Cricetulus griseus: one gene and its partner. Each later gene encodes a partner of the first gene's protein in a complex. Links are inferred from orthologs where the notes say so. Each region holds a gene or a part of one and is shown in the gene's direction. Other genes may lie near its edges. The genes, in order: Oprl1 and Pnoc.

Region 1 (3,098 bases):
ATTTATATATTTAATCTGGCACTGGCTGATACCCTGGTCTTGCTGACACTGCCCTTCCAGGGCACAGATATCCTATTGGGCTTTTGGCCGTTTGGGAATGCACTATGCAAGACTGTCATTGCTATTGACTACTACAACATGTTCACCAGCACTTTTACTTTGACTGCCATGAGTGTAGACCGCTATGTGGCCATCTGCCACCCTATCCGTGCCCTTGATGTTCGGACATCCAGCAAAGCCCAGGCTATTAATGTGGCCATATGGGCTCTGGCTTCAGTGGTTGGTGTTCCTGTTGCCATCATGGGCTCCGCACAAGTGGAGGATGAAGGTCAGTGGGTGGTCCTCCTCTCCGACCAGTTCCCCATGGTTCTTGGTGGCCCTTCTAACCCCGTTTCTCTCCTGCAGAGATCGAATGCCTGGTGGAGATCCCTGCCCCTCAGGACTATTGGGGCCCTGTGTTTGCCATCTGCATCTTCCTTTTTTCCTTCATCATTCCTGTGCTGATCATCTCTGTCTGCTACAGCCTCATGATTCGACGGCTCCGTGGTGTCCGTCTGCTTTCAGGCTCCCGAGAGAAGGACCGGAACCTGCGGCGTATCACACGGCTGGTGCTGGTGGTGGTGGCTGTGTTTGTGGTCTGCTGGACACCTGTGCAAGTCTTTGTGCTGGTCCAAGGACTGGGTGTTCAGCCAGGTAGTGAGACCGCAGTAGCCACCCTGCGCTTTTGCACAGCCCTGGGCTATGTCAACAGCTGTCTCAACCCCATTCTCTATGCTTTCCTGGATGAGAACTTTAAGGCCTGCTTTAGAAAGTTCTGCTGTGCTTCAGCCTTGCACCGGGAGATGCAGGTTTCTGACCGAGTGCGCAGCATTGCCAAGGATGTGGGCCTTGCTTGCAAGACCTCTGAGACAGTACCACGGCCGGCATGACTAGGCGTGGACCTGCCCATGGTGCCTGTCAGCCCACAGAGTCCATCTACACCCAACACAGAACTCACACAGGTCACTGCTCTCTAGGTTGACCTTGAGCATCTGGGTCTTTGAATGGCCTTTCTTTTGTCTCAGGATGCTTAATCCTAGAGGGAGACCTTATAACACCATGGGACAGGTCAAAGCATCAAAGTGGCCTCTACGGCCTATGTCAGATTAGGCTCCCCACTCTGGTGTAAGACCAGAGAGGATCAAAGGACACTGCATGGAAACATCCATAACACAGTGGACATGCCTGGTGAGCCCACATAGGTATACATACTTCACTCAACTCTTCTCTGGCCTCTCCCTGCTGCCCTGGCTCTAGGTGGGCTCAACCTGAGGTATTGCAGTGATCATCTAGTCACATGTTGTATGCTGTTGCCCTCAGCCTTTCAGTATTTCCATAGGACTGCTGAAAATACTTGGTGTTGCCTGGTGCTGTAGGCAGCATTTTTTTTTTTTTTTAAATTGAGACTGGCCCTAAGCTTGGCTTGGAACATTTTCTGGTTCTGACTCCACTAATGCTGCCAGATTACCTGAGGTGGGTGGACATCAGTGGGTTCTAGGATGGTTGTTTTCCAAAGATTCTCTTCATGCTGTACATGATGTCTGTGAAGGGGACTTCACTTGGCACTGCCACTGCCTGTTCTATCTGACTGTGGCTCCAACATGGGCCACCTTCTCAGCAAGAGGCCAATGGAACAATATCCAGAACTTCTTTGTGGCTCTTTCCCCTCCAAAACCACTGTGAACTCTTATATCACAGACTTCTTGGCAAGCCCTGCTCCTAGGTGTGTGGGAGGTAATCAGGAGAACGCTGCTGTGTGACCTCTGTAGACTACTCACAACATGGAGGCGACATGTACTGGTCTTGGCTGCTTAGTAAGGGTGGAGCAGGAGAATATGCTCTGTTCTCATTCCCCACAGCCTCCCTCAGCTTTCTGGCAGTCTCTTTGACTTGACATGGGAGGTCAGTAGCTGTACTGCTAGAAGCATACTTATAGCCTGGGAAGGGTAGCGGCAGGATGTGTTCTGTTCTGTACCTACATCGACTACCTGCTTCTTTTACAGGCTTTAGGGCATATTTAAGTAAGGCCTGAGCTTGCTGTCAAATTGGAAGATGGCATCAAATGAAGAGTTGCTATAAGAGCTGAAGCCTAAAATGGCTCATTTGAGCCAATCTGCAAGGACCATCAGGTTTTGGGGACACTGGAAGAAGAATCTGTACCTTGGAGATCTATTTGATGGTTCAGAAAATAAGAGGCTTTGTAGATGCTCTTTCTGTGGATCAGCTACCAAAATACTAGCAACCTTTGTCTTCCACTGAGACCTTGGTTAGGTGGCTTCATACAATACAGAGCCTGGGCTAGTTACTGTCTCAGAGAGACCTGGCCTTAATAATCTTAATGGGGAGACCAGGGCTCTTTCTGTGACATTTGGGTGGGAACAATTAACTATAGTGTTTTCTTGCCAAGGTTAAAAAGTTTGTGAATTTGTACATCTTCATGTATTTAAGCACACAAGTGTCATTTCCATGCATGTAGCCAGGCCTGAGCCTGCCTCTGGAGTAATGAAGGAGTGCCATAATAAACACCTTGTGACCGTTGCTCTCCATAGAATAAGTATTGCTGACTCTAGCTACATAGGAGTAACTTTCTGGGAGTTCACATGCATTGGGAGGGGCCGTAGAACTGAGTTGATGGGTTCTTTAACCTGTTGTCCACTTGGCAGAGGACAAGGAGCCTTTAAGGAGCCTCTTGACTTATGGGAGGGAAACTAGATCCTAGGTTGCAGAAGCTGCTGCCTTTCCTTCTCCCAAAACAATGACCACCCTTTTCCCACCCTCAGGGCAGATGTCTTTCTTCCTGGCCTACAGGTTTTTCTTTGCCTCAATTTGACCAGGATCGTATGTGCCAAAGTCCTTGCTTCCAGTATAGGGCTGGTGGGTCAATGTTGGTTTTATACAAGTTTTAATGACAGACACTGTCAGCTTGGTCTTTTTTAGTCTAGCAGTTTATAAGCACTAGACATGAATTTCTCACAGGGTTGAAAGCTGCATTCCATGAAGGTGTGGTGGGTTGGACTTTATGAGATTGTGTTCTGACTGTATCCTTACTTTATAGAAAG
Region 2 (4,288 bases), on another chromosome or scaffold:
GTAGACCCCACCTACTCTTCACTAGCTCCAATAATGTTATCACCTCATGCATTTACCAAGGGTTTAACCTATTTGTTATGTCAGCAGCCTCATGATCTCAATGTTTCTAGAGATGTCATCACACATGAACCAGAGGAGTAATTTACTAATAGTCTACATGGTATGGGGTGTGTGTGTGTGGGGGGGGGTGGGTGGGTGTGGGTGTGGGTGTGGGTGTGGGTGTGCTTGCATACTGTGTGGGGGTGTGCTGATTGTGTGTATGGAGACCCAAGGTTGACTTCAGATATGTTCCTTAATTATTAACTACACTACATATGAAGAAGCATGTTCTCTCACTTAGACCTGGAGTCCACTGATTCAACCACTTACTTGTCCACCTTGTTCTGGGGACTGCCTATCTCCCACTGCACTGGTATTGCAGGTGGTCCCCCAACACCACTCAGCATTTGCTGAGTAGGATCTGATCACCAGTCCTCACTTGCATAGCAAGCACTTTACCCACCGAGCCATTTCCCCTACCTCCACCTACTTGTTTTTAGTCTGTTCAAGCCGTCTACCAAGATTTACCTTCATAGATTTCAACATATGGACTCTGAGAAGACACAATCACTCAAACCATAGCAGGAGCTCAGTTCTGATGTGGGTGACAGACAGGGGACACATGGAAGCTCCCTGGGAGAGAGAATTGAGGGACAGCATTCATAGTCTGGCCAGAAAAGAAGCCAGGAGGCATTTCAGTCACTCATCCCCCTGCCTGCCTCCTGAGAAATGGGATGAGAAACTATGCCACCACACTCAGCTCCTCATCTGTTCCTTAGAAACCTTGGCCCTGACAGGTCACATCTCATCTTCCTAACAGGCCTATGGTAAGGCGCCTGCCATGCTTTCTCTTTTATGGCTATGGAAACTGAGGTTTGAAGAGGTTGACTTAAAGGCACTCATTGGTCAGGAAGCAATGCCTCTGGCCTCCAGGAAAGATGTTTCCCATCCCACAGCTCTTTCTGGAACGGCAGAGTCCAGCTAAGTGGCAGGAATCACAAGTGCTCTCCAGGGATCTGCACTACACACAGCCTATGAATGAAAGCAGTCCTGGATGGCAGGACCAGGCCACCAGTACTGTCTACAGTCTATTCCTTCCCAGGTGAATCTAAGACTTGAGGAATCGCCTTGCTGAGGAATGATGCTTGCCTCCCTGGGTCGTGATGCCCAGAACTGACGAACCCTCTCCCCAGACTATACTAATTGGCACGTGTCCTCTATGTGTTTCAGCTGGTTGCTCCCCACTCTGCACCATGAAAATCCTGCTTAGTGATGTTCTGCTGCTCAGCCTGCTCTCCAGTGTGTTCAGCAGCTGTCCCAGGGACTGTCTCACCTGCCAGGAGAAGCTCCGCCAAGACCCAGACAGCTTCAACTTGAAGGTATGTCCAGAAGGCCAAGGGACTACCCTCTTTCTTGCCATCTCCTCCTCCTGACTCCAAAGCAAACACTAAATGAAACATTCAAGTCTCTCCTAGAGGTCATAGGACTTGTGCAGTGTCATGTGACCAAGAGGAAACAGGTGAAGCCAAGCTGCATCTTCCTACTATGACCCCTGTGGTCGTCCTACTTTACCACCAGACCCCTGTGGTCCTCCTTCTCTACCACCAGACCCCTGTGGTCCTCCTACTTTACCATCAGATCCCTGTGGTCCTCCCTCTCTACCATATATCTGTTCATGATGCCCTTGTCCCAGTGTTACCCAAAATACATGTAATATATGTATACATATGTGTCCATATATATTCTTCTTCCAACCCATGAACTAATGACTTTACTCTTTGCTGTGACAAAAATCCCTGAATCTTAAGGAAGGGTTTGTTTTGGCTGAAGTTTGAGAGCACAGTCTACCAAGGAGGAGGCAGCATGGAGGTGAGAACTTGAGGCAGCTGCTCACATTGTGTCCACAGTTGATAAGCACAGAGAGATGATACACTGTTCAGATCACGTCTTCTTTATTCAGTCTTGGACTCCAGCTCTTGGGCTGGTGCTCCCCACACTCAGGGTGGGGTTCTCTCTTGAAACACCCTCATCAGCTCTGAGAGTGTCTCCTCAACCCTAACCCCCTCATGTTGACAATGAAGGTCAACTATTATACTCCAGGAACCAGAGAGAATCTTACTTTCTGTGGTGTCACAGGGTTAATATTCTCATGTTATGACACATTATTTCAAGTGATTTCTTTCTGTGAATATATAACTTGTTCTCCATTCCCCATCTGCTGAGCATGTATATTGTCATCCATTTTTTATATTGCAAATGATTCTACAATGAGCATCCAAAATGCTCTCTTGTGTTTTACATTCCCAACTTGAAGTACAAAACATTAAATTATTATTCATTAAATGAACTGCTTTCTCACTCCTTTAATTGCAGCTTAGATAGCTATTCTCTCCTATGAAATCCAGTATAATTCAATTATTTTTTTCCTTTGAAGTCAATAAAGTTGATTTCAAGGCACCGTGCTTCAAACCCCTCCACCTTTCAAAACAGGCAAGTAATTGCTCTTCCTTAAGGCAAATGTGCAGACATGAAATCCAGCGTAGCTGGTGCCCAACACACCTTGATATCTCTCAGCTCCAGGTAGAAATGTGGCCTCAGCCCCAACAGATAAATATTACACTCCTCCCGGCCTGGACACACCTGTCTTCTGGGTGGGAAGGCACAGTCATGCCATCAGGAAGGGCAGCCCAGACCACCCATCAAAGAGATATGTTTCTGATGCTTGTCCATCCTATTTTCTTCTAGGCATGTCAGCCTGAGGATATCTCATCCTTCAAGAAACATCTCTTGCATCTCTTGCCTGTCTTAAGGGTCCCTTCCCTCTCTAGACAGAAAGGCTCTTTCCAAGTCTTTTATATTGGCTCTGTTCCTCTGCCCAATCCCTAACAGGGATGCTGAGATGTGTGTTTCTTGACCCTCTTCCAAAATGCCACCATATACCCTGGCTTTTCTCTCCTAGGCTGCAGATAACTGTCAAAGAAACCCCTGACCTTCTCTATCTTGGGCTCAGGCCCAGGCCCAAGGCACTCTTTACAGCTCCCAGGGAACCCTGCTTTTCTTTGCTGTCCTGCCACCTTGCTCCTGCCTCTCCCTCCCCCTACCCACTAAATCCCACTTATACTTCAAGAGCAAAGTTAAGCTTCACATCATAACAAACACACTGGTCACTCACAAAGGCAAAGGTGAGGTTCAAGTGGAGTTTTGATCTGAAAATACATAGTAGAATCAGAGGTAACGCTAAGCAGCACACAGGAGAGGGAAATAGAGGCCTCTAGGAGACCCAAACAAAGACAGAAGTTCAGGAAGGTAAGACCAAGGTCAGGACCAGCTAGAAAGAGCTGGAGAGATGGCACAGTCAGAGTGATGGTCTCCACTAGACACTGTGGTACTTGGGGTAACAGGAGCAGCAGAGAGTTCCTGGTGCTCTGGGGTATAAGAATGAGTCCCCATGGGTTAGATTCCATGTTTAGCCCCACATGCTCAACCTATCCCAGGCCATTGCTGTAGATTGCACAGAGTTACGAATGGCCAATGTATGTAGGATGAAAATTAACACCACCAGGTTTGTTCTCTCCACAGTGGCCTTTATTTCAAATATGCACACACCCGCAGTTCCTTTAACCAATCTGGCCTTGAACTTCATGAGGAAATGAAATAAATTCTTCCTGGGTGACGCTCATGGGTTGTGCTTATTCTGGCTCTTGGTGCCATCTCTCTCTCTCTCTTTTACTCTCCTTCTCCCCCTCTCTTCTCTCTCTCTCTCTCTCTCTCTCTCTCTCTCTCTCTCTCTCTCTCTCTCTCTCTCTCTCTCTCTCCCCTCTCTCCTTTTTCTCTCTCTGGCTCAGGTATGAGTTCCTTTGCTGACCTATCTGGATATCCCAGCATGGGGCCCAGTATGTGGCCCATAACAGGGCTCACGCAGCCTGCCTCATGGAAATTGTATGATTCTCAGAACATGAGGCTCCTTGCTGGGCACATCCTGAGCAGTCACTGTAAAGTCTTACATTTGGTCTTTCTGGGGTGGTGAAGGATTGGAAGCCTGCTTCTATCTTTCCATTAGCATCTCAAATCTTTGGAGGCCAGAGAACACTCACTTTGCTTCCTAGAAACAAGTCAGAAAATGGATTGGTAAAAACCTCACAGCTGGAGATAGACGAGTTGCAGTGCCTGCTGTGTCCCGTCTCCCCCCCCCCCCCGCCCCCCAGGACCCTGTTGCTTGCTTGTTTTTCTGTTTCTAGTTCCTATTCCC

What was found.
Region 2: the proteins of Oprl1 (region 1) and Pnoc are in contact, whole or in part, in a cryo-EM structure (PDB 8F7X), measured with the Homo sapiens proteins. The link is inferred for Cricetulus griseus from reciprocal best matches to the Homo sapiens genes OPRL1 and PNOC. Residues at the interface, in NP_000904.1 of Homo sapiens: Gln107, Asp110, Gly114, Phe115, Trp116, Val126, Ile127, Asp130, Tyr131, Met134, Gln192, Glu194, Ile198, Glu199, Cys200, Leu201, Val202, Ile219, Val279, Gln280, Val283, Gln286, Gln291, Pro292, Ser293, Val298, Leu301, Arg302, Thr305, Tyr309; in NP_006219.1 of Homo sapiens: Phe130, Gly131, Gly132, Phe133, Thr134, Gly135, Ala136, Arg137, Lys138, Ser139, Ala140, Arg141, Lys142, Leu143.

The regions. Positions count from the first base shown.
Region 1 is NC_048599.1:188,050-191,147, reverse strand, and holds the end of Oprl1 (nociceptin receptor), read left to right. Parts: coding exon 1-328; intron 329-405; coding exon 406-929; 3' UTR 930-2,585; downstream 2,586-3,098.
Region 2 is NW_023276807.1:220,422,485-220,426,772, reverse strand, and holds the start of Pnoc (prepronociceptin), read left to right. Parts: upstream 1-1,292; coding exon 1,293-1,418; intron 1,419-4,288.